Linked DNA regions of Struthio camelus. Each later gene encodes a partner of the first gene's protein in a complex. Links are inferred from orthologs where the notes say so. Each region holds a gene or a part of one and is shown in the gene's direction. Other genes may lie near its edges.

Region 1 (7,420 bases):
CATCCAGCTTCTCTATAAAATACGACCTATTGTAGTTTAATGGTGACTGACTTTTGGTCAGTGTTAAAGTTGTTTTGAATGGTATCAAACTGAAAATACATATTCAGATCAAATAATGCACATACAAAACTGTTCCTCTTAGGATTTTCTTCTGTCTAATTTTAAAAATTTAAAGTAACAGAAATGATACCCCTTCTGAGGGAAGCTCTTTCACAATAGTAGCTCTAACTATTGAGCATCTTTTATTGCTAAAAACCTCCTAACACGAAAACCTGTCTGAGGTCAGCTAAAAGTCTTGTATGCGATGCGTTCAGAAGAAACACTTCACCAAAATGCTACAGATCATACAACAGCGGGAACAGCAGACATTCAGCCAACAAACAGCTTGATTAATTTATGAAGACCAGGCTGATTAAGCTAATCCTGCTCCGAGTTAGTTTAAACGCCCCAAATAAATTTAAACTGTCAAAACTGTCATCAAAAGGATGTCTGTCCATGAGCAGAACTTCTTTCATTGCCCTGCTGCAGAGAAACACGTTGACTTTGCCAGTTTGCTCACGAAGACTTGCATGTTAGTAACTTCATTCAGACTAGATATTGGTGCACTGTTCTGAAAACTGTCATATCTTTTGTCCCGAGGAACAGCAATAATTTCTTTAAAATTATTTTATGTTTAAATATTTTAAGGGGAAGGGTTATGGTGAAAGTTACATAGAAAAAAATAATCTTACTGATTTACTAAAATAAGCTTGGATAGAAAAACTGAAATGTAAGCAGTGCTTTTTGCTTAATCTTAGTGTTCTATTAAAGACATTGGGTTGCAAATGCCACACTATTATGTTTAAATGCACATCAAAATCTTGTTCCTTAAAATGTAACTGCAGTAACAATACAGTAAGTCCTTTAAAATGCTTTTAATAGACAGCAATCTACTGGGCCTTAAATTTTCATTTTTATAGGACCTCCTATATGAGGATCACAGTGTCCTGTTAATTATTAACTAACTCATGTTGATAGGATAAATTAAAAGCTCTGTGATGGAGAACATGTCTTATTTATTAATGTCCTGACCTTGTCCTACACGTTGCAGAGCTTGCGCTTTGGAACCTACTTCTCAAGACTAACACAGGTTTTTCTGTGGTGGTGAGATTTTTCAACTGTTTTCTCTTATAGTTGGTTTTTGTCTAGCCTTTCTTTTCTGTATGACAAAGTTTTGTTTTTCTATTGCCATTTTCTTTGTATCTGTTTCTGCATGGACCTAATTTACTGCATTCTGTTAATATGTAGATATCTCCAGAAAAGCTTCATGACTTTAATAAACTATTACATTTCATAATTTAGAAATTCAGAGTTACTCACTTAACAAAGCAATAATAAAGAGGAAACTGAAGCGACATCAGCACCTACGCTTGCCCTATTTTTTTTTTTTTTATTTAAATTATGGCCAGTATCGGAGATGGGGTTAGGTGAAATGTTGGTCTGACTGAGTAAACCCTTACTTCTGAAAAAACTGTCATGAAAGAACCTGATTCATTACGCTATACTTTGATATTGAACACTTTCCCATTTGCTCTATTCTATTTCAATGGTAGATGTGGTGAGAAATGGTATCTTCTTACTTATTCAGCTTCTGCGCACATGCGGTCAGAGTCCAATCTGTGCTTGGCACCAACTCACAGACTTCAGCACAGCCTGGGTTTCATCTAGGATCCTGTTCTGCTGTGTGCCATCAGCTTTGCAAGTCATTCCAGATGAAAAAAAATGTGTTAAATTCCATTGTCTCTTGCGCATTATCAACAGAGCAGAGCTCTTCACTGATTTCAAATCCATTAGAAATGTGTAAATTAACAAGCAGGGGTGCTGTGCTTCAATATTAATTATCTCATCTGATGGCAGTGCAGTTGCACAAGAGAAACAGAAGACAGTATATGACCTGTGATGATACTCAAAGAGGAAAACCATAAATTAAGCACCACTCTCCCTCCAAGCCCACAGACTAAATTCTAAGACACAAATTTTGCAGCAGGACTTATAGGTAGGAAAGACCTCTTCATTCTTGTTAATTGACCACATGTGGTAAATGGGAACTGATTAGTCAAGGAAATTCAAGGAATTGTAAACCCCCAAGTCAGCATTGTCCAGGGAGAGGTTTGATCTCAAACACATGACAGCGGAGGAGAGAGCAGCCACATGGTAGAAGGTTCCTTTCTACAGGAATGCCTCTCTCAGCTGGGACAACAAGCACCACAGCAATTAGAAAAACTTCAAAAATCTATTTTACTTTCCCCTCAAGCAAATGGGTGTGGAAGCTTCACAACAGTGACAGCAGAAAAGAGCTTCACTCTCCTTTCAGCAGGCAGGAAACCAAGCCTCCTTTACAGAGGAGGCCTAAGGCCTCCTTCTTCAAGCTGTAAGACTTCTAACTCTGGCTAGCTGAGAATAGGTCCTCAGTTGACATCTATTATCTATGCCTATCTGCTGTACTAAGCAGGGTCAAATACCTGTTTTTTTTTTTTTTTTTTTTTTTTTTTTAAGGAGACCATGTAACCTTCCCTTCCCTCCCACCCCCTGCACATAGTCTCCACTGTGGCTGCAGCCAGTCCTGGCACAGCCTAAATGAGAAGCAAAAAAGTACTCCTGCAATGCCATTTTTATATACACTCCCTTTCTAAAACAGAACTGTAGGTGAAGTCACTGCTATTCTTCAAGCCTGAAAAAGGAAAAAAAAAAAAAAAAAACCCCACCCCAAAACCCAGTAACATAATTTTGGAGACCTTGTTGAAGGGAAACACATGAATGTTTCCAGCTGAATCAAACTAAGGTAATCTCAGAATCAGCAAAGAAACAAACTACATCAGTTCTCCTGCTTCTAGGAAGGAGGCAAATACAGTAACTTTAGGTTATACTTGTTTTAACAGAAGGATTGTAGAATGGCGACTCAGGTCAGACAGTTATTGCATATAAGGTACCCTGAGATTTTAGGTCCAATGGAGTACACCAGATTCTCACCTTCATGTCACCACGTCCTTAGTGCACTGATGACTTTCCAAGAGGAAGGATGACTCGATGCCAACTGATATGGAGCTATTTCAAAGCCATCCTCGTAACTGGCAGTTGTTACCAGCTGTGCTATGTGATACAATCAAAATGACCTTGGTAGCCCTGTACCTTGTGCGGCAGACAATAGCCTGTCTCTCATAATTCAGCAACACTTTTGTCAATAATTGGCTTTTGTACAGTCCCAGTGGAGCAGCAGAAACCTCAGCAGGCTAAAGAGATTAATTAACTCACCTCATCTCCTCTTCAGATGTGGTCGGTCCAGGCCAGGCATGACACACTCGGGCAGAGGACAGAAATGGCAAAGATGCTGTATGCGCTGTGGAATTATTTCAGTTTTCAATAGAAGAACCTGGAACCTCTCCAGCACACTAAATTTGCATGCAAACATGAAGTTAACCTGTTCAGGTGTTGTGACTGGCACTGAGAGCGGTCAAATACGTTAAATGCAAAACAGAACACGCCCTCTTGTGGTCCCGAAGCTTTCAGTGGCTTCCCTTCAAGATGATAGGAACGAGCCTAAAAAGAAAAATAAGAAACTCTGTAATGATGCACTGTGCGCTTTGATGCGGGAGCAAACATTGCAAAGCCGCTTTAGATCAGATAATGCAAAAGACAAATCTCAGAAAGTTTAACTTTAAAAAGCGCACGTTGATTCCTGCTTAGACCCAAGGCCTGGATGCTAATATTTGTGAGCTAACTCTAAGGAACCCTGATCATTTAGTCACTCTGTAGCTCAATTTCCCCAACTATCAAGTTGGTATAAAAATGCTTGTATATACTGCAGAGGTACTATCAAGATAAATGAATATGTGCATATGAATATGAATGAATATGCGCATTAAAGACCAAAAGAACCTGCAGCTTTTTCAAAAGAAAAAAACCCAAGATGAATACTTTTAAAATTACAGTTTAAGAAACACAGAATTATTTTTTAAAAAGTTGCATAAACATACAAATTGTAAGATTTTATACCTCACAAGGGGGGGGGGGCCCTCTTTTTTTTTTTTTTTTTGCATATGGTTTTCCAGTAGTGCCCAGCCTCCCTGTGCGGAGCGAGATCTCGCAGGGCGCACGGGGGCAGCGGCGGTGGCTCTGTCAGGCCAGGGTCGGGGCTGGGGTCAGCCTCCCCTCACGGCCCGCCACAGCACCCAGGGTGCGCCGGCCTGTCCCGTGGGGCCTGGGGCAGCCCCCCTCCCACGGCGCCCGGGGGCTCGGGCCTGGCCTCTCTCCCGTGATGCCCCGGGGCCTGGCCTCTCTCCCGTGATGCCCCGGGCTCCAGGTTGGCCTCTCTCCCCTATGATGCTCCAGGGATCCCTCCCATGATGCCCCGGGGCTGCGGGCGGGTTTTCCCGTCCCTCCCGTGATGCTCCGCGCTCCCCTAGCAACCGCGCGGATGGCGGGGGGGAGGAGCGGTGCCCGCCCGTTGCTAGGGGCGGCCATGGCGGCGCTGCGGCTCGCGTTCCTCCTCCTCCTCCTCCTCCTCCTGGCGCAGCCCCGCGGCCCCCTGCCCCGCGCTGGCGCGGTGGCTCCCGCGGCGCCCCCGCAGCCCCCCACTGCTGCCCGCAGGCCGGCCCCGGTGACGGACGGTGGGTGCCCGGGCCGGGCGGGGGCTGGGCGGCTCCCCCGGGCCGGGCCGGCCCCAGGCCTGCGGGGAGACCCTGCGTGCGCGTGGGGCTGGGCATGGCCCGCCCGAGCCCCTCATTCGGCCCTGGACCCTATAGATAATATTCTGTCACAGCTGTGCCCTCGGCAAGCCTTTCCCGCTTCTTCCAGTCAGCGGATAGGTTCAGCTTTTGATTTCCCAGTGTTGCCTCCCTCCGTTCCGTTTCGCTAGATCACCTGCGGAATTAAACGCGTCCTAGCGTGTGCCTCCTTAGGGAAGGGAGGCTTAAACCCCTGCTGTGTTTAAACTTACCTTGTTTACAACAAGGTGAGCAGAAGACTCCAATCCTAAATTCAGCTGACAGAACAGTCAGAACTTCAGAAATTCCAAGAACTGGCTGGATACGGTTCATGGTGGGCAGAGAGCTTCTGGAGGGCCACAGGGAAGTGTGTTAACAGTCAAACTGAAAGGAAAGAAGTGGTAGTTACGAGGTTAAATATTCATTCGTGTCCGGCCTATGCAGTGCTGATCTTCATTTTCTACATTTTATGCTGCCCTTAAATCTAGATTAATACAGAACAGCCACTTTCAAAACCAGTTAAGTAAATTAATATCTGTTCTCTGAATTTGTAAACCTGGGAACAGAAGAATATTTTAAGAAGCTGCTAAATTTATATTGTCAAGACAGTTCACCATATTGCTGGTGATTACTTCCTTATTATTGCAATATTCACAGTATCCGAAGACACAGAGAAAAAGCAACTGTAAAGAAATTAACTCTAGTTATATTGCAACATCAGGGAAACATTACTGTATCCTGGGACACGTCTGATACTTCTAAACTTCTCATTGCTGTAGGATAACCCTTCTCTCCTTTCATCTTCCCCCCCATCCCCCCCAGCTGAAACAAACCTAGCGTTGCTCCATTATTTGTATCTTTTTTCTCAGCAGTACTACATAACGTTTTAATACCTTCAGCATTCCTATTAACTCCAATTGCTTTTTTGATTTCACAGGGAACACAGGATCAGATTTATAGTATGCCTTGGAAAAGATAACTTTTTAAAATGACTTGTTAAAAAAAAAAAAGTGAATTTGGATGTAGACTTTTGACCATTGTCAAAATTAGGCAAGGTGAAAAATTAAAGTGTTTGAGTACATATTGTAATGTGTTTAGATTTGATTCTAACACTAATTTAAATCTTTTTCTCCAGTTGCCAAGCTGTGTGTTTGTGATCTGTTGGTGGCGCAGTGTGATGTAAATTGCTGCTGTGACCCTGACTGCAGTGCAGCAGATTTCAGTCTCTTTACTACATGTTCAGTTCCTATTGTCACGTAAGTGAATAAATGGTTTTCTGAAATACAAACTCCTGTCCTGTTTGCTGCGTGCATTTGTAAGGGCTCTATCCTGTCCTCTTACAAATCCCTAACCCATCCATCCTGACTACCTTTTCAGCAGTCCCTCCTGCATTAGGCATGCAGTCCTTCCTTCCCCAGCAGGTAGGAGAAAAGCAAATTGGCACCTGACTCCAGTTTCTCATTCCCTGTTTTCCAGACCTGTGCTCCTTGCTTTTCCCCATTCCACTGTCCTACTGTACGTGGGCATTAGCTTCTTTAGAGGGAAGAATAATGTATCTTTAGACTTTTATCAATATAACACAGTGTCTGGAAGCTAAGAAAGCTGGTACCATGGGACAATTTGACCATGTGGGTCATCAGCAATTTATCAGTAACCTCTTTCATTGGTGTTTATTGCATCAGATAGAAACATGATTGATTCAGGTCTGTAGTGAAATACTCGGAGAATCACTCTGGTATTAATTTTATGAGCAAGTACGCAACTTGCTGTCTCACTGCCATTGTCACTTCACAAACAAAGTAAAATGTAACATAACTATCAGCATTATGTTCTTGATTATTGTTTCTTTGCTACTTACAGTCTATCTGAAAATACATTTACCCAGATTTCATCTTCTCAAGTAGAAGCTAAAGTTAATTTCAGAATCTTAATGTAAAAATCTCTTGGTGACTTCTCAGAACAATAAGTATAGCTCTTCAACCTACCTTCTGCATAAATTATGCCAATCTGGAAACTGGAGTTTATTCTCAGTGCTTTGAAATTTCAATTAGCAGTCATCCTCTACTGCCATTCCTTATTGTTCTTGCACACAATGACTACTGCTCCCCATTTATAGGTATTTATATATATCAGAAAGGTCTAATCAACACCTTCCTGAATGACAGTTTAATTATCTCAGGTGACTAGTCTGTCTTTGCCAACTAGAAATGCAGAAAATCAAGTTGTATCTTTTTTCCTAAATTCTTTCCTGTAAGATTTTCATTTTGCATGAAAATCCATGGTATTTTCAATGACTACAAGTGTTCTGGATCTCATTATTTACTTATAGATTTATATACATTTGAATAATTGTAATGGTTACTAACGGGGTTTTGACCACAAGTTAGAGGTTATGTGGTCTGTAAAATGCAGAAAACGGGGGTGTTTTATTTAGGATATGATCCTATTAAGAAATGGTTCACCTCCTGAAAAAGTTTAGCTCCATGCATAAGAAGTTGTTCCTAAAACTCATTTTGCTTTATCACTTTCTATCCCTGACTGTTTTAACTCGCTCTGCCATAAGCACCAGTTTGCCAGGAATCAACATGCTAGAAATACATGAAGGTGAAGGCACTGGTACAGCCACATTGGATCGTTATTTCATCTCCCGGTTTCTCACCTTGTCCTTTCTTATACAT
Region 2 (7,391 bases), on another chromosome or scaffold:
AAACTGTCAGTTGTAAGGCTTGGAGCCCTGGGATGCAAACCTAAATACTCTTTGCAGCTTTGCTTTAAAAAAAAAAAAAAAAGCTCCAGTGAACTAGCATTAGTATTGCAACCAGCATCACTGGTGGAGCAAGACCAGTAACCAGTAGTACGGATCACTTCTTGCTACGAGCAGGGATACAAGCAGAGATCACCCTAAAGTTTTACTAAGTATGAGTGAGATGGTCATTTTGGAAGTCAGAACGAGCTAGCCACCCAACCCTTCGCTTACCCTGAAGGCAGGAAAGAGTAACAGGTACACTCCAGGAGAGAACAACTAAGTATTGTATGTTATGTAGTCTACCTCTGAAATGCCCTGTCTCTTCCCACCCTTCAAAAGATACTTTTTGTTGAGCTAATTTGTTTATGTGAGCATTTAATTTTTTCAGGTTTCTGGCTGGAGAGGTTGAGACTGTTTATTACTGAACTCATTAAAATATGAATCCAGCTATTGTTGCTGCAAGCCGAGTCCTGGCTGAAGAGTTAAATTTTAGGGGCTGTTGTTTATTAATTCTCACTTAGTATGCCTCGCAAATTAGCAAAACTAATTTGTGTAACATGGGAATGATTCCGTTAGAGAACTGGTGAGTGGCAAAACATCCTGATTCATAAAAAATGTCTCCTGGAGACAGACACCAGGATAGGTGCTGCACTGGTATCACATGGCAGACTGCTCTAGAATATCTGCAGATGTGCAGTGTGTGTAGCCTTATGTTTATGGGGAAGGACAGCATTTGTGTGGCATTATACCAGGTAACTGCGAACCTTTGCAAGGGAGGTCTAAGGTTGCAGTAGAACATGGTATGTGGAAAGCTTTTGGGAGTCTGTCTTCACCATTGTCCTATAACAGATTCTTAAGAATATATCTAGTTTTCAGCACAGGTTGTTACACCATGTCTGACACACTTGGCATAGGGCTACTAGCCACAGTCCTAGGGACAGCTGCCTCAGCAGAAGTGTCAGCCAAAGCTCTAATAAAGCACTGGAAAAGGCAGTGCAGCCCAGTTCCAAGTTAGTTAAGCATAGCCTGTGGAGGTATAGTAACTACACTAGGGTTAAAACAACAACCTTTATTTGACCCCTGACTAGAATATAATTCGGAAAAGCCAAGAGAATATCAAACATCCAAAACAGAGCTGGAGGCCAAGCAGGGTGTCAAAGGTTATTTTGGATAATATCAGACACTTATATTTAGGCTATATTTAGAAGCTAAAAGTCCAGAAGTGGCAGAAACAGAGCTATGGTAGAAGTTTGGAGCAGAAACCATGTAGGCCCCATTCTCATATTCTCTAATCGCAGATCCTGATTAATAGCTGCAATTAAACCACAATAACCGGTAAACTAAATAAGGTTTGAGGTCTCATATGCAACTGCCCCCATTGTTCAATTGTCAGCATGGTTCTTGACAGTTTTGAACGGGGCCAAGTAGCGCTCTCTTGACAATGCTATGGTAAGACAGGTGTTAGCAAAAGTCAACGATTATTATACTCAGTACTGCCTACAAATGCAGCCAATAAAGCAGCACCTGCTGTCAAATCTGAAGGACAGAATGTTCTGCTGCCCTTGATAATGCATTTTAAGTTACCTTTCAATCCTTCTACAGTGAGAAGGTAAGACATTCTAAAAGAAGTAAGCTGGTGTTGCTTTAGTAAGAGACAAACATCTTTACCACAGCTCTGTCCCTTCCCTTGAGGAAGCTATTGAAATAGCTATTTCCTATTGAAATAGGAAAACTAATAAACACTCTCCCTGACCTGCAAGATGTCCATGATATAATATGCAAATGGAGAGCAATTCTAAGTTATTTAGAATATTAGTTAATTACTGCAAACAGAGGGTAAGAACAGTCCCTGTAGGTTTTGACAATTCTGTCACTATAGTCAACATCCTATAGAAAAATCAAAATCATTATTATAAGAATGCTTTTTTTTTTTACTCAAGAGAGCATTGATGGACATTAGCAAGACTGCAAGAATGGTAGTTACTGGCAGAGGTGAAGTAGGTTTCAGTAGGTTTCACAGCTGTATTAAAAGCCTTTTGCAGCTGTATTAGAAGCCAAGGTTGAAGTTCGGACTAGGGCTTGTTAATAATGCTTAGATGCTTGTTAGAAACTTAGATGGCTGGCTTGCAAATACTTATGAGGCTACTCTTAAGTCTCTTGACACTATTATAATAGAGTTTCCTGATTGTACCAAAGTGTTAAGATTGGTATTGGTGTTCGGGTTCAGGGAAAAAGGTTTTGAAGAGGTAACTTTTCTGCTGGATCCTAAAACAAACCATGGAGATAAAGTACGGCTAGTCGAACAGAGTAAACACATCACAATAATCATCAACCAGTATTCTCTTTTGGGGGACCATTTTGACACGTACTCTGTATTGAAGGCTGGGGCTAGGATTTGCATCAGAGTTTGGGACATACAAGGTCTGGAAAAAACTGTTAGGTTCCTTTTTTCCTGAATCCTGCTAGACCACAGACGTAGAAATTTACCTGTAGGATGGAAGAGGTGGCATGGAAGGCTTCTATTCTTTGCTGGAACTTCCTGGGACCACAACGCCAAAATAAAGGCTGCCGCTGACTGAGATATCTAGCTTACGACTAGCCCAGAGACCATTAGGTGGTCAGTAGAATTTCAGTAGAATCGGTAGAATTTCTCATAGCTTTAAATATAAAAAGGATTAACTTCCACATTTGGTTCTAGTTTGGTTGGTTTTCCATATTTTCATTTTAACGATAGGGACAGTCACTAGTAACCAAGAAGCTCCATATTACAGGGATTCCTATATATCAGTAATAAGCAAAAATGAAATTATCTGAACCGTGAGAGGCAATAGTTGTCCTGCTAATACCTCATTCCCCTACCAGTTGAACATTTGCATGCATTTGAGAAAGAGGAGGGCAGAAGAGAACTGGAAAAAGAAAATAGCTTCTGCTATTAATGCATCTTGAGGAGCAAACAAAGAAGGACGTATGTTCTTTTGACACAGATGGTGTATCTTGACAGAATTCTAGGAACTGTTATACCTGAGAACAGCGAATGTCACAACCACAGTATCACAAGCATTCACTGACCTCTAGGTCATACAAATGGTACATGGTCAACTGAAAGTGAACTGAAGACTAATTTTGCCTGATTTGGCTTATGAACAGATACAGTCACGCTAATTCAAGACCGGCATTGATTTCAGGAGCTAAAACAGTGAGCCCTCTAGCGTTGAAGAAACCTGCAACATCCACTTACAAATAAGAAATGATCAAATCTGTCTTGATAATCATCAGTATTTAATTATACCTAGAGAACAAAAGATTGCTTAAATTAGCAACTAAATCACAGAGAAAACAAAAGTTTCTGAAGCATCTGTCTAACTTCAGTACATACGTCTGTGCTGCCATTTGCAAGAGCAGATGTCTTTGCTCTGCAGTCCACGGAAAAACTCCCGATTGCAATAAAGATCTACTAGCCAGAGACTTTATTATTCTAAAATAACTTTCACTGTTAGTATGAGCCCAGAGAAGGGTTTTGACTTTTGAAATGAACTACAATTTAAGGTATCTTTACGGGACTGCTCTGTTATTAAAGCTTTCCACGGTTTTTTTTCCTGTTTTAACTTCCCACTTTATGTTTTTCAAGAAGGGGCTTATCAATCTGTCACCCATTAGAACGCAAAGCTACGAACAGGCTCAGGACGCCTGAGCAACTGCAGAACTAATGAAAGCTTCTGACCTTTCTCTGTTTTGTAAAATACACTGTCCTGGTCTAATAAAGAGATCTGTGCAAGGCACATCGCTCTTAAATGATTAGTATTTCTCTCCCATTTTCCACACGCAGTCACGTAGGCGCAGCGAGCAAAGGCGGGGTGCAAACCGGGCCAGCGCACTCCCGCGGCGGAGAATGTTATCTGAAGGGCTTGTCTCGGCCCCCGCCACCTGCCAGCTCCGCCAGGCACCGCCTGGCCGCAGCCTGCGGCGGACCCGGCGGCGGGAAGCGCCTGCCGCCAGGCGGCCCGAGCACTGCCGCGAGGCCGGGAGGCTCCGCAGCGCCCTGCGCCGTGACGAGTGGCACTACACCGCGGGAAGCGGCGCCTCCAGGCGGCGCCTCGGCGCGGGCGGCAGCAGCGGCCCGAGCGCTCCTGGCCAGGCCCAGCCGCGCCGCGCCGCGCCGCGCCGCCACCGCCGCCTCGGGGCGCCAAACGCGAAAACGGACGCTGCCCGGCCCCGCACGACGGCGGCCCCACCCCCACCAGTCGTCCTCGCGCATGCGCACGAGGAACACCGCCGCCCCCCCGCGCGCCCCACAAACTGCCGAAACGCCTGTCGAAGCACCTGCCCCCGCCGCGCAGGCGCGCTCCGCTGAGCTCCGGCAGCTCGCCACGCATGCGCCCCGCTGCCGTCCAGCCGACGCCCCCTGTCCGGCAAGAAGGGCCGTGTGGGTGCCCCACCTAATCCGACCCGACGTGAAACCCAAGCCGTGCGGGCTCCCCGTTCCGCCCTCCTGCACGCATGCGCGCTGTTTCCTTGGCAGCTTGTAGTTGTTTTCGGCAAAACCAACTGCGAGGCACTGCGAGGGGGGGAGCTCGCGGGATGAGGGAGAAACCAGTGACGGGGGGAGGCAGTACAACGGCAGGACGGAGCCGAGCGTGAAGCCGACAGGCCAAAGTGAGTGATGCCCTCGCGCTGCTGAGGAGCTGCCGGGCGGGGGCGGGGGGGAGCGGGGCGACGCCGGGCCGTGCCCCCGCTGTGGGCGGGAAGGCCGCCGTAGGGCCGCGGTCCCGCCTGGGCGCTGCCGCCGCCCGTTTACGGTGCGCGGCTGCTGGAGAGGCGGGTAGGCTGGGGCACGCCTCCCCGCCGCTGCTCCCTCCCCCGAGCCCCCTCCCCTCGGAGTCGCCCTATCCCTCTCCCCTTCCCCCTGCCGGGGGCGGGGGGCTCGGGCTGGGGGTTGGCAGCCGTTACAGCGCGCGCCGCGACGCAGCTGTTGGCGCGCGCGGCAGCTGCCGGAGCTCGCGCGGGCGGGCGGGGGGCGCCCCGGTCCCATGCGTTAGTCCCCTGGTGCTGGATGCTTCTAGTGGCCCTTGATATCTCTGTTGTTTTCCGTTATTCCTCTAGGCAAAGAGAAACAGCGTTCCGGAAATAAATACCTAAGCGTGGTCTGTTACCGAGAACTCATTTTTGTAATTGTAATCTGTGATAAGGCAGAGACTTAAAACTGTACGAAGTAATCAAGTGAGATGTACTGCTTTATAGGAAACTGAAATCCATAGTTTTGCCGTTAGGGCAGGGACGGATTTTAATTCAACCTTCTAACTAACGAAAGGTCCCGAGAGTTCTGGAAAAAATGACGACTACTCAGAAACTAAAGTTTTCTGGTATGTTACTCGTGCACAATTCAATGGATAGATAGCATCAGCGCTTTTAAATGTTCTTTTAAAGTAGTGTGGACACAAGTTTGTTGCAGGTACGTCTAAACAGCTAGAAAGCTGCAGTGGCTCTAGTAATACTTTCGATACGCTGATTCATAGGTGTTTATGTGGTAATAATAAGGCTTTTAAGAAAGCTGACAGCCAATGCCACTTAAATAACTTTCATGAATAAAAATGGGCTCCTTTTTGGTATCACATCCATCATTAGTAAATAGGGACAGATTCTTTACTGTTACTTTGCTGTATAATTATGATTTAAACCTTTCTCAGCTCTGAAGAAGAAGTGATACCTATAAATATTTAAGTGAGTGATACCTATAAATATTTAAGTGAGAAACCTACTAGTAAAACCCAAGGTATCCCACTATGATGACTGATCTAATTTAAAAGTCTGATTCCATTTGTTTCTAGTCACTGAAGATTACATTTAGTTTTTGCAATAGTGGAAAAATATGAGATTTAGTTCATTAAAATTCTGAAGGATGCAATTATAGTCTATCAATTCAGTTTCCATAGCGATCTTAATCGGATAGGGGGGCTTGTCACTACCATGTAACATTGAACAAATTGTGTATGTTCTCCTTCATTACGATATAGATTTGACTTTTTTTCTTTAGGGGTTAATGAAATTTTCCTGAGATGCGTGCTTTGTGATGTGTTTGGGATAGAAAACATCTCTATGACAGATAACAAAATATAGCTATTGTGAAGACAGCAATAGCTTGATGAATTGGAGAAAAAAACATTTATAAATAAAGACAAAATATTAGAGGACAGCAAATTAGATGATTTTTCAGAAAGGTGCCCAGTAAATTCTTGGAAGCTTTGGCTCCATGATTTTGTTTTTCTGGCTATTCTCGATGGCTGGAATTGACTGTTCCCAAGTGTGATTTTTTTTGTCATTCCTGGAAACATTGTCTTATATTGGCTAACACAGAAAAGATGAAAGTTGATCATGCAGAAATACCACTGAACAGATGCACCTCAATGACAACTGAATTTATTCAGATCGGGGTACTGTGGTTGCTGAATTTGTGCGATTAACTCTCTCCTATTTTAAGGTGAGATTATACAGAGCAAACACCCTTGTTCTTACCCTTGTCGATTAATGGGCTATATTTACACAAGTTGCTTTAATGCGCTATGTCAAAGGTTATGTAATTCTAACTTGGAAATATGTTGGAAATAACAGCGCTGTCATAGGACTTGCTAAGATAGATATTTTTGCTGAGTAAATAGAGGTAAATATAGAGTGGTGAACTCACCGGTGAATTTGGTACGTTGTATGTTTTGCAGAGGAATAGTGGTGGAAATAAGACGGGCAAAGCCCTTGGAGAGGCAATTGTTCAATGATAAGCAAAAATATCTGCAAAATTAATTTGTCTGTAGTTTTTTTGTAGTGTGATTTATTTATCATTTGGCTATAAAATTATTTTCATACTTGGAATAGGTATACACCATGCTTACTTTGCAGTTTTGTTCTATATTGTTCCTCATATTTTTTTCTTTGTATTAAATCTAAAAAGCATTGGTTTTTTTCAAAGGTGGTTGAAATCACTAAGCTAATAATAACAGCAGTTTTTGTGTTTCTACAATCTGCAGTGAATGATTAAAGTGACAGACTCTGCTATATTTTATAGCTATATTTCATTTTCTGCACTTTCAAATTATAAATATTTTCCAGCTGATTGTGAATTCAGTAATTGAAAAGCAGCACTTAACAGCCATGGGCTTTAGAATGGGCTTTCTATGTACCTAAGTATAAACTTCAAAGGCAGATTCATTTTTAATCATGTTTTCTTCTTCATATCTTGTAAGAATTAGGCGTTTGTGTTACTTTTAACTATTACTGTTTTAATTGTGACAGTAAAGATTTGCTTTATCAGGCAAAATACATTTTAGTAAGGGAAAATACTGCTACCCTGTTGGTGAAATGAT
Region 3 (7,366 bases), on another chromosome or scaffold:
CTGAACTGTTGAAATGAAACAGACTGATCGTAAAGTGAGGGGAACACCCTCAATTCTTGGGAGTCCTTGAATGATGCACAAGTCCATCTCAATATTACTGTACGTGTCCATTCTTCTGAAGTCCACCTGCTTTTAAAGTTCACAACAAGAGTATGCTACTCACCATTCCAGCATTGCACTTAAGGGTACACAGTGAAGACAATTGCATGAAAGAGCAAAAAGAGTCAACAAGGAGATATTTCAGTGACTACTTCAATTTACAAAGTAGAGTTCACTATTTTCCCTAAATGCATACTGCCTTTCAAATATAAGAATCACTTAACAAACTAACTTCCATGCATCCCAGTTTTTTAAATTATCATCTAGTGTCATATATACATAGAACGCTACTCTCTCAGAGCAACGACAAGCCTCCAGACAAATGGCTGCATCCCTTCAGAAAAAAAGCCCAAGACCTTGATGACAAGTATCTGAGAATATTCCTTGGACAAAACTCTTGCTCAATAACAAGTGTCATGACACACTAATGAATGAAGATTTCTGATGCACAGTTATCTGTTGATCACAGTAACTAATCGCTCCTCCTGAGCTTACAAAACAAGTCGGAGAAGCCCCAGTTTTTTAACTGATTCTATGTTGCTTCTAGGTCAGCACTGTATAAACACAAACTGAAGACAACTGCCTGTTTGATAACTGCAATGAAGATCATCAGCTCTCCGCATCTTTATAATCGATCTTCTCAACAGATATGGTAGCAGTGCCAACAAGCAAGGAGAGAACTCAAGGGCAGAATTTTTGTACAGAACCTTCGTTTCTTGGAAAATCAAATCCGCTGGCCTGCTATTTCATGATGTATGAAACCTGTAGCATTTCTGAATTTTGCAACTCTGTATTCCTATCCCAATTTTTACCCAGCATTCAGAACCAGATATCCTCAGTACTTCTTAGGTGGTAAACGTCAAGTCCTCCACGACGGCCCACGGATACAGAATACAAATTGCAGTGCTCAAACAAGACACACCGATTCAAGATCATAACGTGATATTTAAGAAGTCCATAAACAAAAATACCAAAAATACAAGTTCGGATAATAGGCTTTAACTAGCTGTGCATTAAGCAACGAAGAAGCGAAAGCCAACACAGACAACCAGTGCAACTGTTTAAATGAATGACCTAAAAGTGACTTTTAGGATGAAAATATCTCACAAGACAAAAACCAGATCATCAACTGAGCAAGGCCTTCAAAGAACAAGTGTTTAGATAATAAACAGATGGCCTCATGCCAACACTTTAAAAGCACAGAAAAGTGCACACTAATGCTTTAGGAAATTCTGTATTTAAGCTGAGCTAACTAGAAAGTCGTACTGTGCCTGCCTACACTTCCACAGCCTTTGCAGAGCACATTGCAAATGCTATTAAAACTTCATACCACCTCACTGAAAAAAAAAAGCCTTCAAATATTTCATGAAAATAGGACTGCACTAGACTAGCACTTTTACTACCGGATAGAAAGATTACACAATCTGTATGCAATGAAGCCAACAGGAACACCCACAGAAATACCAGAAGCATAAAACTGAATTTTGATGAATATGTGAGTTAAGAATATGCTGGGTCAGGGAAGGATTGTTTATTCTAATCTTCTCCAAAACAAGCCTCAATAGTCAAAGTAAGTCACTGGGAGTGAAAGCCTCCAACACCGCTGAAGGCAGACGGGAGGGTGCCCTGCAGCTGGGCGGCCGCAGGGCCGGTTCCGAGCGCTGCTCCTCGGCGAGAGGCCGCTGGGAAGCCCCGGAGCAGCGGCGCGGCCGGCCGCACCGGCGGAAACGCGCCCCGCCGCCGAGCGGGCGAGGCCGAGGCGCGGGGAGCGGCGGAGAGGCCGCCTGTGACCCGACTCCGCGCAGAACGAGCGCGGCCTCCCCGCGGCACCGGGATGGGGGCACTAGGGAGCGAAGGGCGAAAGCCGCCAGCCGGGACGAGGGGCCTCAGCGCGGGCAACCGCCGCGCAGCCGCTCCGCCGGCGCGCACCCCGCGCCCTCGGCTACGCAGAGCCCTAGGGAAGCCAGGCGCCCTCCCGCGCGCCATCCACCCACCGGACACGCCGCCGGGACAGGCTCAGCACCGAGCCCCGCAGCTCCCAGCGCAGCACCGCCAAGATGGCGTCCTCCTTCTTCCCCCCGCAACAAGCAGGCCGGGGCCGAACTGCGCCTGCGCGACCCCCTCCCCTCCGACCCTACGGCTGAACTTGCACGAATCCTTCCGGGCCCCGCCGGCCGCGCGGCGCGGCGCGGCGCCGAGCGCCACCCTGCGCTCGTGCGCATGCTCGGCGCGCACGCGGTTTCCCCCCTCTCCGAACCGCCTCCGGGAGGCGGGGCCGGGAACGCCCTGTCCCTACCGCGCTTTCCGCTGCGCATGCGCTGTCTGGCTCCCCGCTCGTTTCAGTACGCATGCGCTCTGCGTAGGCGCGCCGCTGACGCGTGCAGCGTCGCGTGGTCACGGCGGCGGGATGTGCGGGGGCCGCTTTGCGAGCAGTGCGCATGCGCCGCCGGGGCGCCCCGCGGGACAGCGTTGGCGGCGCGCGCCGCCGAGGAGAACGGTGTCGTCCGCGCCGCGGTGACAGCGGGCGGTGGCGGCTGCGCTGATCGCTAGGGTTACGGCTGTTTGCAGCGACCTTCAGCCTCTCGCTTCCGTCAGTTCCGGCGCCTGCCCGGTTCAGGAAAAGGGGCGAGGGGGAAGTCCCTGCGAGGGCTGTGGGCCCCGAGGCTGAGAGCCGCTGGGAGCCGCCTCAGGCCTGGGCCTGGGCCTGCGGGCGCCTCTGGCACCGGAGAGGGGGTGTTGCACCCTGTGCTTCTGTTCCTAGGCGGTTCCCAAAGCTCAGGGGCCAATTGTTAGAAAAACAGTTTCCAACCTAAACTTTCTCGAGGTTGGCTCCAAGCGTGCGTTGGGAGAAATGGGAGGAAGGGAGAAGTAAGTAAGGGGTAAGACTGTCCATGCAGAAGGGGAGAGGCAGGCTACTTTCATCATTAAGGTTAGATAGTATTTTATCCATGCAGTGTTCATCTCACCTCCCTTTCCCTGTGTTTTAGACGTATTCCCTTATATTTCTAGACAGCAGTTCTATTGCTAGTCAGCTCCATTCTGATAGACTAAAAAAGCTTGGGGTAGATTCACACCCCCCCCCCCTTGGTCATCCTGGTAGCCCTTATCTGTCTTTTCTGGGATCGATCTCTATCTGGAGCCTAGGAAGTAGAATATGAGAAAGTGCTTCTGATGGAGTCTTCCGCAGAGCCACATCCAAAGCACGCTTCTCTCTTCTCTGTGTCTTTTGGAAACACGTTTCCTGATTTAACAATACAATTACATAGCACTGGTGGTTTGGTTACACCATGAGTAACTAATAAAATGAGGTCCTTCTGTCCTTTCAAACTGAGTTTGGGGAATTGCATTCCATTATATCTTAGAAAATAGCTAGAAAGTAACTGACATGAGGCTGACCAGAAGTTGTGAAGCTGCCTTCTCTTGGCATCCAGAAGCTTGCTGGTTATCACAGTATTAACGATTTATGAAATCCCTCTTCACATGATATAGCTTAGAAGCAGTGGTTGGAAATCTCACAAAAATAGGGTTAAGATTCTTGAGAAATAATTTTACTGCAGGTATAAATGCTATTTTCTCTGGAAATAATGCTTATAACCCCACTTTCCTAGCTTCACTGCCTGGGTGCTTGGCACAGAGGGAGCTGCTGTCTTCTCCTTGACTGGAGATGTTTAAAAAAAGAACATACAACATAGGAATTATCTGCGATAGCTGTTCGCTATCTCTAGGAGAGATGTTATGAACAGGAACTGAAGCATAAAAAGTTTAAGCATAATCACCCAGTATCTCAGCCTTTAAAAAATTCCATCAACGCAGCAATACAAATCTGATTAGGAATGAAGCATTTGGTGCGATAAGCATATATGCTTCCAAGCAGCACTATTATACGGACTCAAAATAGTTATGCGGTTATCATTCAGTAAAGAGATAGTGAGGAATAATGAAAACCGAGGACGCTCGAGTACCCAGAAAAGTTTTGGTGATGCTTGGGGGAAAGTGAATAAGAGCAAGTGAAAAAAGGGGTAACTTTGGCTTTGTGTGCGTTCATCTGGGCATTCTGTATGATCGCTCTGCTACCCGTCTCCTTAAAAACGAAAACCACACGTTTGCACCACCTGACGCTGCTCTGCCGCACCGCCGATGCCCTGCCGCCCTCCCCGCTCCCCGGCGGAGGCACGTCCGGCGCAGGCGCGCCCTCTCCCCCGTGAACGCTTCGCCTCCGCGGTTGGGCCCTTCGGGCGCTCCGTACCAGAGGCGATTGGCCAGTGAGAGCGCGCGGCTGCAGCTGCTGGGTAGCCATGGCGACGGCGCGGTGGTGGGGCGCCGCCGCGCTGCTGCTCTCGCTGGCCGCGGGGCTCCCGCCGGGCCGCGGCTTCTCCTTCCCGCTGCGGCGGCCCGGCGGCTGCGGCGACGCCCGTTACTTCGACATCTCCCGCCTGGCCTGCGGGCCGTGTGGGCCCCACCAGAGGCCGAGCGCCGACGGTGAGCGATCCGCGCCGCAGGGGGGCGGGCGAGCGGGGCTCCTCGCGGCTGGAGGTGCCAAATCTGGGCTCAGATTTGGGCTGCTTTAGTTTGCAAAACGATTGTTCTCAGGTACGAGTCTGAAAAGCAGTGGAAAGGGTCAGACCTTCCAAAAGGCATAGGTGTCCGTAGCACAGATACGATATCTGTATTCTGTTATATATCCAAGAGCAATATATGTACACCTTTTCTCTAATCTTTCTTTCCTTAGGCATTTCTGTTGTTACAAATGCCCACTTTTTTATCAGTAAAATTCTATAGGTCCCTAAATTTCTCTTCTTGAGAGCTTCCAAAACTTGAAGCTTCTTGTCAAAACTCACATGTCTGAGAACTTAAATATCTGAGACTTTCAGGCTGTGCACAGATTAATCCGAGTCCCATGTGGGAATGTGGAGGATGCTACACGTATTGACAGTACTAAGTGAAAAATGTACTAAGTGAGCAATGTTCGCTTTCTTTAAGAGACATGAGTGTATGATAGTGTTCCGCTTTTATGAATACTCAGTTTTGGAAAAGTGGTAGTTTCAGTGGTGTATGTACATTAACAAATCAAACTAAGACCCAACAGCTTATTTCTTTGGAGCTGGTCCCTCGATTAAACGCAGTCATCTGGACAGCTGCGCTCCCTTATGTGAGGTTCTGGCCAATGAACTGTTGCATGCTCTGCTTCCTACGGCGTAGCTACAGCAAGAACGATGGGTTGTCCCTTGCCTTTGTCCCCACGCTGTGGGATACTCTTGGCTTGAGACTGTTGCATAAAAAAAGATGGTCACCTGTCCCACCACCTTTAATGATATCTTAAGATATCCATAAGAAACATACTGTAGCGGTTTTCAGTTGCATTGATCATATAGTTATCTAAATCCGTAAGTCCTTTAGGCTTGAATTTTCCTCTAACATCACTGTTCTGCTCGGGGCTTCAAGGAAACATATAAATTCCAAGGCTCAAGGATTCCATGAGCTCAAGGATTTAGACTTCTCCACAGCATCTTCTTAGAGCAGTTTAGGTTTAGATTATAAAACCTCACCAAATTTTATGTGAATGTTTACATGCACGTTTCTATGACCTTAAATAATAATAAACACACACTATAAAACAGAATTGACTCTAAGTACTAATAAAATGTCTTCGAACTTACAGAGAGGGATCCACAATATCTTGAGAGTAAAAAGTTACTGGAAAAAAATGCTATTGAGTGTAACAAGCGTCTGCTGTGGTGTGCCATGGTAATTGTGTTTACTTTAATAATAAACATTAGGTACGCTCTGTTACTCATTGGAAACTGATCCGGATGCACAGTTTTAAAAGCTTTGAATTTAAAATAGCTTTACAAACTACATTTATATTTTTGAAAAAATCTTCGCATATAAAGGTTATGTTTTGTTTTTCAGAGTGATTTCCTATTCGAAGGATTAAAAACTGAATACAGACATATGATGCTAATACTGTTGTCCAGAGGATGGGCTAAGTGAGTCAAGATTTGTACCAGTTATTAGATCAACTGGTATAGCTGAAGGAAGAACGCAAAGACACACACCTAGTATAGTTTTTCTCCCACTGTATCAGTCAACCTAATCTGATTTTCCCAAAACCTTTTCCTACAGTCTGTAACATCTACTTTTTTTAAAAAACAAGGCGATTTTCATGCACATGACACTCAAGTGTTTTATTTGTGTACCTAAGAAACTAAACTGATCTCTTAAGAAAAATAACAGCTCTATTATGTGGAAAAAACAGTTTTGATTTATGTAGTTTAAAAGGGAATTATTTTTTTCCAGGTCATTCATGTGTATGTCAGCCAGGATTCAGGATGGTTTCTAATAATGGTGGGCCCTCTGTTATTTGTGAAAAATGCCCGGAAAGTATGGTAAGCATTGAACTTTTCATAGTCTGCCATAATAATGCTTTTTTAAGTCTGGAACTTCCATCTAACTGCAAGTTATTTTTCTTTAATTTTAGATTATTTTGAAAATCAGTGAATTTTTAACCTTAAGACCATGTAGTATTTATTTTCCTCTTTAAAACTGTTTATTATTATTAATTTGCAGGGACCTTTTAATTATAAAATTGTGTTTTTAGGCAAAGTAAGAGTATTTTAAATGTTTAATTTCCTTCTGCTCCTTTTCTCTTCTGCTTCATGTTGTGTTACTCTTACCCTGAGACCACTTCTTTATAGAAAGCCAAAGATGAGTTTCAGTTTTTTAGTTTGTTTGTTTGTTTTTTTCCTTATCTTATTTGGTTATTTATATAAATCCTATTTTTGTAATATTTGGGCTGTATCTTCGTACCCTGTCATTTATCTTTTCACTTTAAAAGCAGCAGCTCATTTTGCGTTATTTTAGTTACACATACCTTTGTGATTTGCTCTGTTCTTTCTGCCTGTCTCGACAAAGTAAACTTAGTTTTCTCAGTATTCACAGCAGTGAGCCACAGGCACCAGACTTAACCAGCTTTCTCCCGCTATAGTAAATAGAGAAATAATATTTCTCTACCAAAAACAACTCTTGAAAGTAAGAGCCTTCCAAAGTACTTCTTTCTCTCCAGTAAGAAAAACTCTCAAGAGATCGACTTGAGCTGGGTTAGTGAGATGCTTAATGGCTGACTGGGTAACGTAACTAATCTCCTCCCTCTTTTCATCATCTTGTTGCTACTTTAGAAAGACTTTGAGGGATATCCGTTGGTGTTTTGATCTTTCTGCTATTTCTTTTTTTCCTATAATGCTGGCATTATCATTATTATTAATCATTC
Region 4 (7,694 bases), on another chromosome or scaffold:
GTTCTTTGTGAGCATTGAAGCTAGTGGCTTGTTCTCCTCGGAGCGTAACGCCTTCGAAAACTAGGCGGCCCCAGGCACCGTCTCATCCGCGGCCTCTCCGTTCATCGTCCCTGCGCGCACGCCTGCGCCCGGCCGCGGCCGCGCCGCCTTCCCGACGGCCCCCGCGGCCGCGCCGGCCTGAGCAGCCGCTCGAGCAATTCAGGTCACCTGTCCACACCGCTCCTTCTCTTTTTGTTTTTTTTTCTTTTTTTGTTTTTTGGGGGTTTTTTGGTTTTTTTTTCTTTCTTTTTTTTTTCTTTCTTCCTTGCTTTTGGGGTTTATTTGCGCTCTCGCACCTCCTTCCCCCGGCCCGCTCGTCATCCCGGCTCCGCCGCGGAAAGCTGCTGCCCGGTGCGAGCGGCCGCCCCGCCAGCCCGCCCCGCGGAAGAGACAGAAACAAAACACAAAACGCACGCAAAAAAAAAAAAAAAGAAAAAAACCTTTTTTTTTTTTCCCCCAAATCGTTTTGGTTTGGTTCCTTCCATGCCGCCTCATATTTATGCATTCACATATATCTTCTGTTATTTATGCCTTCAGTACTCAAAAGGAAATGTATCTCGTTTCACATGTATTAAACTGTATAAACTGGAAGCGTGGCTTGACTTTCTGGCGCGGCGCGAGCTACCGCTGGCACCCCGAGCCCTGGTGGCAGCGGCGGCACCCTGAGCCCCGGCGGCAGCGGCACCCCGAGCCCTGGTGGCAGCGGCGGCACCCTGAGCCCCGGCGGCAGCGGCACCCCGAGTCCTGGTGGCAGCGGCGGCACCCTGAGCCCCAGCGGCAGCGGCACCCTGAGCCCTGGTGGCGGCGGCACCCCGAGCCCCGGCAGCAGCAGCGCAGCACCCTGAGCCCTGGCAGCGGCGGCACCCCGAGCCCCGGCGGCAGCAGCACCCCGAGCCTTGGTGGCGGCGGCAGCACCCTGAGCCCCGGCAGCAGCAGCAGCGGCACCCCGAGCCCTGGCGGGGTCCCGCAGCAGCTCCCACCCGGGCCGGCGGCGAGGCAGCCGCCGTGTGCTCAGCGGCCTGCTCAGCACCCTGCCTTGGGGCACGCAGTGGCCGCCGGCGGCGGGGGGAGGCCTCGCCGCGCCGCTGCTCCGCGCCGTAGCTCCTTAGCCGTGCTGCGTCCGCCCTGGCCCCCGTGCCCTCGCCCGCGCCCCGAAGCCTGTGTGCGGCGGGAACCGCTGCTGTTAGAAGGTTTTGGCTGCAAAGGGGAAAACTTGGTCTTTATGAGGCTTTCAAAAAAAAAAAAAAAATCCTAAATCGGCCCGTTTTACCGCCAAGCAGGAGGAGTGGGACGGACAAGGCGTTTCCGAAGCGCTGCTGTCCCCTCCGCGTGCCCAGCTGGCCCTGGGGGCCGCTCGCAGGCGGCCCTGTCCCCGCGCCCTCCTCCCGGAGGAGCCGCACGCGGCAACACCTCCCTGCGCAGCCTAACGAGCCCGGGGCAAACGACGCCGGCGCCCGGCGCCAGCCCTCGGCCAGGCAGCGCGCGCCCTCACCGGTGGCCGGTGCATCATCCCTGTGGATTATTTTCCTTTTTTTTTTGTTTTATTAATTCACAGTTTATTGGCTGCAAAGCCCCACTCTGCTTTCCGGAGAAAAGCTGAGGATGTGGAGGAGCGTCTCGCCCGACGTGACTGTCTTCCCCGCACGTCGGGCCCGGGGAGCGGGCTGGCGCCTGCTGTGCACACGCTGGGGCGGCCACGGCGTGCCGGGAGCCGCCGCGGCCTCGGGACCCTCCCGGCCGCGGCCGCTGGCGGGCGCAGCTGTGGGAACCGGCCTCCTCCCGCCGCGCCGGCTCCCGGGGGGCTGGGGGGGGACTGAGCTAGCTCGAAGGACACAGACGCGAGCGTGGGAAACAAGCCGCGTCTTCGCCTTTGACCGCCAGCATCCTCTGGGAGCTGCAACTGCGGAGCCGTGCGCGCTGCAGCCGCCAGGCCACCGCCGGCCCGGCCCGTGCAGAGGCGGCCGGCCGGCTCCGCGCGGCCCCTCGCCCCCGAAACGTGCCGCGGGCTCGCTCGCCGACGGAGCGCGCCAGCCCCAGACCGGGCTGCTGGCTGCGGGCGGGCGCGAAGCGTTTTCGCTCCTGTCCTAGATGCGGCGGTGAACTAGGGTTACGGCATCAGGGACTCGGCACGGGGGCGATATCCCGGCAGTTCTGGCTCGCAGAGATGTCGGTTTTCTGCCCGGCCCTGGCACCGTGGCGGTTTCCTAAGGGCAGCCGAGCTCCGGGCGGGAGGTTTCAGCACGGGCCCCGTTACGTCGGCCGCGGCATCGCTATTGGCAGGCGGCAGAGAGGGGTGCAAGGGGCTGGCGTCGCTGCCCGAGTGCCGCCCGCTGCTTTTAGCATTTCGGTGCATTTCTGCAAAAAATGGAAGGTTCCCAGCTGGTCACAACCCACCAAATGGTGCACCGAAGCCTGAGCCCGGACGTCGCCAGCCCCAGCCCTGCTTTCGCCATTGCACAGATGAGCGGGGCCAGGAGGGAGCTGCTGCGCCTGATTCACCGGCTCGACGCCCCGGGGAGGGTCGCAGGGCCGTCGGGGGCTCCGGGCAGCAGAGCATCGGCCAAGGCTGGCGCGGGAGGACGAAGCAGCGATTTGAGCGCGGGGCCCGGGAGGCGGCGACGGTGCCGCGAGCGCCGGGCTCTGGCCGCTCGGTGTCTGCGCCGAGCCGGGTCAGGCAGCGCCAGGGCGGGAGGGATGCTTGAAAACACCCGAAATAAGGAACTAACGAATGCTCTGGCCTCAGCGAGGCCGCTGCGCCGGCAGGAGGGCGGCCAGGGGTTTGCGTGCAGCCCCGGCAGCGCCTCCGGCGCCGGCTGCTCTGCCCTCGCTGTAACCTGGCCCTTTTTTAATCGTGGCCGTGGTGGTTTCCTTGAGAGAACCGTTCTTCAAAGCCTACCCAAGGTCTTTCCCGTAACAAACTTTTCCTCCTCTTTCAGGGATGCCCGTTCCCCAAATCTGAATCCATCCCAGGTGCAGTTCGACACAACCTTTAACCTGTCATCGTTGCGCGACCATGCAGGTGGCATGAATACTAATAAGCACTTGATATTTGTACGAGCTTTCACAGGATGAGTAATTAAATTGACTTTATCCATTAAACCTTCACTATTAAGCTTTAAGTACACGGCTGTACCTCGATGGCTGGGCCCTGTCTGCTCCTTTATGGGGGCGGCCGGGGGGGGGGGGGTCTTCATTAGACATTTGTGCGCATCCCGCCAGGGCCTCATTCAGCACGCTCTGCGCGGCTGCAATCTCCCTCTCAGGGCTTTTTTCCAGCAGCTCGACAGGTCTCTCCGTTGCAATCCCGCCGCGGCCCAGGAATAACTTCATTGCTCGTCGTTCCTTACGCCCGTACCGAACCCGATCGCCCCGCCGGCTTCCCCAGGCTTCCTCACCCTCTCCTGCCCGCGTGTGAGTTATTCTACCTGGCACTAATTAATTTTCCTCATTCAGCAAAATAAATAAATACATCTCACGGACGGTAACACGTTGCCATACGAGTTAATTCTTCGTGCAAGACCGGGCGCTGCGCGGCTCGCCGGCCGGAGCGCCAAGGGCAGGCGGCCAGCGCCCACCTGCTAATTACCCGGCCTAATGAAGGGGGAAGTGCTGGGTCCCCCCCCCCCCCCCCCAGCGAAAGAAATCTCGGGGCAAGTATATTTTAGCAAGAATTTGAGCAGTAGTCCGTGCGCTCCGGCCATCGGTCGGGGGGCGGCGGGCGGCAAGAGCAGCAGGAGGCGCCTGAAGGGCAGGACGCTGGCCGCACCTCGAGGAGAAGCAGGCGGCGATGGCTCAGACCGGCCTCCTTGTGCAAACAGCCTGAAAACAAAGCCGTTGGGTGGTTTTTGTTTTTTATTGCGGATTAACGACACCATAAAACGTATCTCCCTGGCCGTTTGAGCAGGGCTTGATCGTAAATATTTGGGATTTAAAAATAAATAAATAAATAAAACGTTGCCGCTGGGCCGAGCGCCCGCGGGCGGCACCGAACCAGCCCCCGGGGTGGCGTTGCCGGTACCGGAGAAGGCGGCAGTGACAAAGTACCGGCTTTCGGGGGCCTGGCCGGCCGGCGCAGCGCGCCCGCGTGGGGGCAACGGCCAGCAGCAGCCCCCCGCGCCCGGAGGAGCCCAGAGGCAGGGTGAGGGGCGCCGGCCGCAGCCCCCACGGCCCTTTCCGGGCTCAGGCCGCCGCCGCGCGGGCCGGGCCGGGGGTGAAAACATCCCCGCGTCGGCCCGGAGCGAGGGCGGCGGTAGCTGGTCACTCGGCGGCCCGGGGCGGCTGGTCAGGGGCCGCTTTATTTTCGCCTCCTGATATTTTTCCCTTGGAAAGAGCGGGTTTTTTGTTTTTTTTTTTTTTTTTTTCTGGGGGGCAGGGGCCAAAGGGTGGGATTTCTGCCCCCCCCTCCGCCCCAACCCCGATCTGGTCTGGTTTGCTGAATGCCAAAAAAGCAAAAAGCAGGGCGGGGGGGGAACAAACCAAAGAAATCTCAAATTAAACAAAAATAAAGGAAACCCTCCCGGCGCGAGGCCGCCCCTAGCGGCCGCCGCGGGGCTCCAACCGGGCTGGAAAATATGAGCATAAACCACATAAATCTAGAGAAACTCGACGAATCGCACGGCGAGGGCCGGGGGGGGGGGGGGGGGGCGCTGCGGCCTCCCCGCCCCCCGGGCCACGGGTGTGATGAGAGCGGCAGGCCTCAGCCGGGCTCTCTCGGCAGGGCGGGGAAGGGCAGGGGGTAGCCTGCCTTTCGGGGGGCTGAATTTGGGCGGTGGGCAGCGCCGTTAAGCGGCGAGCCACGGCCGGGCCTCCCTCCCCCTCCTCCTCCTCCTCCTCCTCCTCCTCCTCCTCCTCCTCCCCCCCCCCCCAGCGGCGGCCCCGCGAAGCGCCGCCCGCCGAGGAAGCGTGTCCCCAGCGCCGCGCCGTCCGCGGTATCCAGGGCGACGGCGGCGGCGCGCGCGCCCCCCCAGCAACGAGCCAGGCCGCGCTCGGCGCCATGGCGGCCGCCGCCGGCAGCGGCAGCAGCAGCAGCAGCCCCGACGTCTTCCTGGTGGCCGTCAGCGGGCAGATCGAGAGCGGGCAGGTGAGCGGGACTGGCCGGGGGGTCGCGATGGGCTTGTGGGGCGTGGGCAGCGCGGACCGGTCTCGGCACCGGCGGCGCGGCCTAGCCCCCGGCCCCGGTAAGGCAGGCCCGGCCCCGGGCTCGGTGCCGGCTGAGGGCCCAGGCCCGGCCCTGGCCGCTGTCCTGGCACCGTGGCCTGGCTTTGGCCCGCCCCGGCCCGGCAACGCAGCCCGGCCTCAGCCCTCGTCCCGCTAACGTGGGTTGGCGCTCGGTTCCCATAACGCAGCCCGGCCTCAGCCCTCGTCCTGCAAACGTGGGTTGGCGCTCGGTTCCCATAACGCAGCCCGGCCTCAGCCCTCGTCCCGCTAACGTGTGTTGGCGCTCGGTTCGCATAACGCAGCCTGGCCTCAGCCCTCGTCCTGCAAACGTGGGTTGGCGCTCGGTTCCCATAACGCAGCCCGGCCTCAGCCCTCGTCCCGCTAACGTGTGTTGGCGCTCGGTTCCCATAACGCAGCCCGGCCTCAGCCCTCGTCCCGCTAACGTGTGTTGGCGCTCGGTTCCCATAACGCAGCCCGGCCTCAGCCCTCGTCCCGCTAACGTGGGTTGGCGCTCGGTTCCCATAACGCAGCCCGGCCTCAGCCCTCGTCCTGCAAACGTGTGTTGGCGCTCGGTTCCCATAACGCAGCCCGGCCTCAGCCCTCGTCCTGCAAACGTGTGTTGGCGCTCGGTTCCCATAACGCAGCCCGGCCTCAGCCCTCGTCCCGCTAACGTGTGTTGGCGCTCGGTTCGCATAACGCAGCCTGGCCTCAGCCCTCGTCCTGCAAACGTGGGTTGGCGCTCGGTTCCCATAACGCAGCCCGGCCTCAGCCCTCGTCCCGCAAAAGTGTGTTGGCGCTCGGTTCGCATAACGCAGCCCGGCCTCAGCCCTCGTCCTGCAAACGTGTGTTGGCGCTCGGTTCCCATAACGCAGCCCGGCCTCAGCCCCGGCCCCGGCCCTGGTAGCTGGGCTTGGTCTGAGCCTGAGGACCTTGGCTTCGTGGAGTGGACTGGCCGCAGTGCTGGTACCGCGGCCTGCTCTCGGCCCCGCTGGCGCCGGCTCCCTCAGCCTCGTAACACAGGCTGGCCCTCGGTCCCGCTAATGTAGCTCGGCCCCAACCCTAGCCCCAGTAACGCAGCCTTTCTCTCTCCCGCAGTTCCCCGAGTTTGATGACCTCTACTGCAAGTTCTGCTTCGTTTACGGCCAGGACTGGGTTCCGACTGCTGTAAGAGCCTTTTACGTCCCCTTGAAACGCGGGCTGCGTTGCTGGCCTGTGTAAAACGGGCCCGGCAGGGGTCCTTGGCTCATGCCACGCTCTCCCTGCAGGGCCTGGAGGAGGGCATCTCCCAGATCACCTCCAAGAGCGATGCCGCAAACTCTACACTCGTCTGGAACTTCCCCATCGACATTACCTTCAAGAGCACAAACCCATCCGGCTGTGAGTGCCCAGGGGTGGTGGGGCCCATCTCGCAGACCAGGCAACCTGCTGACTTCCATTTCTTTTGCAGGGCCACAGATTGTAGTAAGCGTCTATGGACCTGATTTTTTTGGAAACGATGTGGTCAGAGGCTATGGAGCTGTTCATGTTCCCATTATACCTGGAAGGTGAGGTGATGACCTACTCATCTTTCAGGATCAAAATGGAATTTATTTCTAAGTATCTGTGCTGTTTCAGAGCCAAAAATGTCCCCTTATCTCCTTGTCACGTCATCAGAGTGGTATGAACAGCATAGATCTTCTAGTAGAAGCCCCTGGTTATCAGATGATTTTTGGTAATCCTGCAGGCAATTCCGTAAAGTCAAAACTAGTATGAAGAAAGTCCAAGTATGAAGTGCAGTATGTCAGTTCTTCTTCCCCAGCACTCTCAGCAGGCGCTAAGCTTTCATTTCTGCCACTGGAAGTAGAGTAAGTTACTATGCTCTTCTGTATTTATATCTCTGGGACTCCTAGGATGCAGCAGCATGTATGGCACTCTGAAGTGACTTGTTTGCTCTGTGCTAGCTTTCTTATGCAAGCAAGCCCTTCCTCTGTGGATGGGAAAGTATTTTTACTCTGAGATGTTCAGTGATATAATGTATCTGAAATTCTGGCCTCTTTAATAAAAATAAGGAGGCTTGCCATTGCTGTTTGGTTCATTTCTTAATTTCTGTGCCTTTCATGTTTGTTTTAGGCACATAAGAACTATTCCTATGTTTGTTCCGGAGTCTACATCTAGGCTGCAGAAGTTTACAAGGTAATAATTAAAGACTTTGTGAGTAAGACTAAGAAGAACTTCTTAAAAAAAAAAAAAAAAAAGTATCTCCAGCTACTCACTTGTGCATACGTACACGTATTTTGTATCATAAACAGATAGTTTTGAGTTTTATGGGTGAAGCTAAAGTTGAGGAACTAAGTGAGGTGAAGCTAAAGTGTCCTTCAGAGAGCTTTCATAAAACCTGTTAACTATTTGCTTGGAGTAATGCTGTCTAACTTGCCTTTTTTGTCATCCTTGGATTTGAACAAGGTTTGTTTGAGAAAGAGTTGCTAATTTTAACAGACTCATCTCTGAACTCTTGCACT

The links.
Region 2: TCTN1 (region 1) and AHI1 share a complex: the UniProt entries of both Homo sapiens proteins name them as parts of the tectonic-like complex. The link is inferred for Struthio camelus from reciprocal best matches to the Homo sapiens genes TCTN1 and AHI1.
Region 3: TCTN1 (region 1) and TMEM67 share a complex: the UniProt entries of both Homo sapiens proteins name them as parts of the tectonic-like complex. The link is inferred for Struthio camelus from reciprocal best matches to the Homo sapiens genes TCTN1 and TMEM67.
Region 4: TCTN1 (region 1) and B9D1 share a complex: the UniProt entries of both Homo sapiens proteins name them as parts of the tectonic-like complex. The link is inferred for Struthio camelus from reciprocal best matches to the Homo sapiens genes TCTN1 and B9D1.

Annotation. Positions count from the first base shown.
Region 1 is NC_090958.1:18,032,765-18,040,184, forward strand, and holds the start of TCTN1 (tectonic-1), read left to right. Parts: upstream 1-4,411; 5' UTR 4,412-4,423; coding exon 4,424-4,646; intron 4,647-4,975; exon of another isoform or gene 4,976-5,114; intron 5,115-5,877; coding exon 5,878-5,998; intron 5,999-7,420. UniProt on the Homo sapiens protein: Component of the tectonic-like complex, a complex localized at the transition zone of primary cilia and acting as a barrier that prevents diffusion of transmembrane proteins between the cilia and plasma membranes.
Region 2 is NC_090944.1:73,414,657-73,422,047, reverse strand, and holds the start of AHI1 (jouberin), read left to right. Parts: upstream 1-4,374; 5' UTR 4,375-4,692; intron 4,693-5,096; exon of another isoform or gene 5,097-5,399; intron 5,400-5,428; exon of another isoform or gene 5,429-6,514; intron 6,515-7,391. UniProt on the Homo sapiens protein: Involved in vesicle trafficking and required for ciliogenesis, formation of primary non-motile cilium, and recruitment of RAB8A to the basal body of primary cilium.
Region 3 is NC_090943.1:149,423,207-149,430,572, reverse strand, and holds the start of TMEM67 (meckelin), read left to right. Parts: upstream 1-4,349; 5' UTR 4,350-4,394; coding exon 4,395-4,578; intron 4,579-6,396; coding exon 6,397-6,485; intron 6,486-7,366. UniProt on the Homo sapiens protein: Required for ciliary structure and function. Part of the tectonic-like complex which is required for tissue-specific ciliogenesis and may regulate ciliary membrane composition.
Region 4 is NC_090956.1:3,416,887-3,424,580, forward strand, and holds the start of B9D1 (B9 domain-containing protein 1), read left to right. Parts: upstream 1-4,677; 5' UTR 4,678-5,032; coding exon 5,033-5,119; intron 5,120-6,291; coding exon 6,292-6,360; intron 6,361-6,461; coding exon 6,462-6,573; intron 6,574-6,643; coding exon 6,644-6,740; intron 6,741-7,305; coding exon 7,306-7,368; intron 7,369-7,694. UniProt on the Homo sapiens protein: Component of the tectonic-like complex, a complex localized at the transition zone of primary cilia and acting as a barrier that prevents diffusion of transmembrane proteins between the cilia and plasma membranes.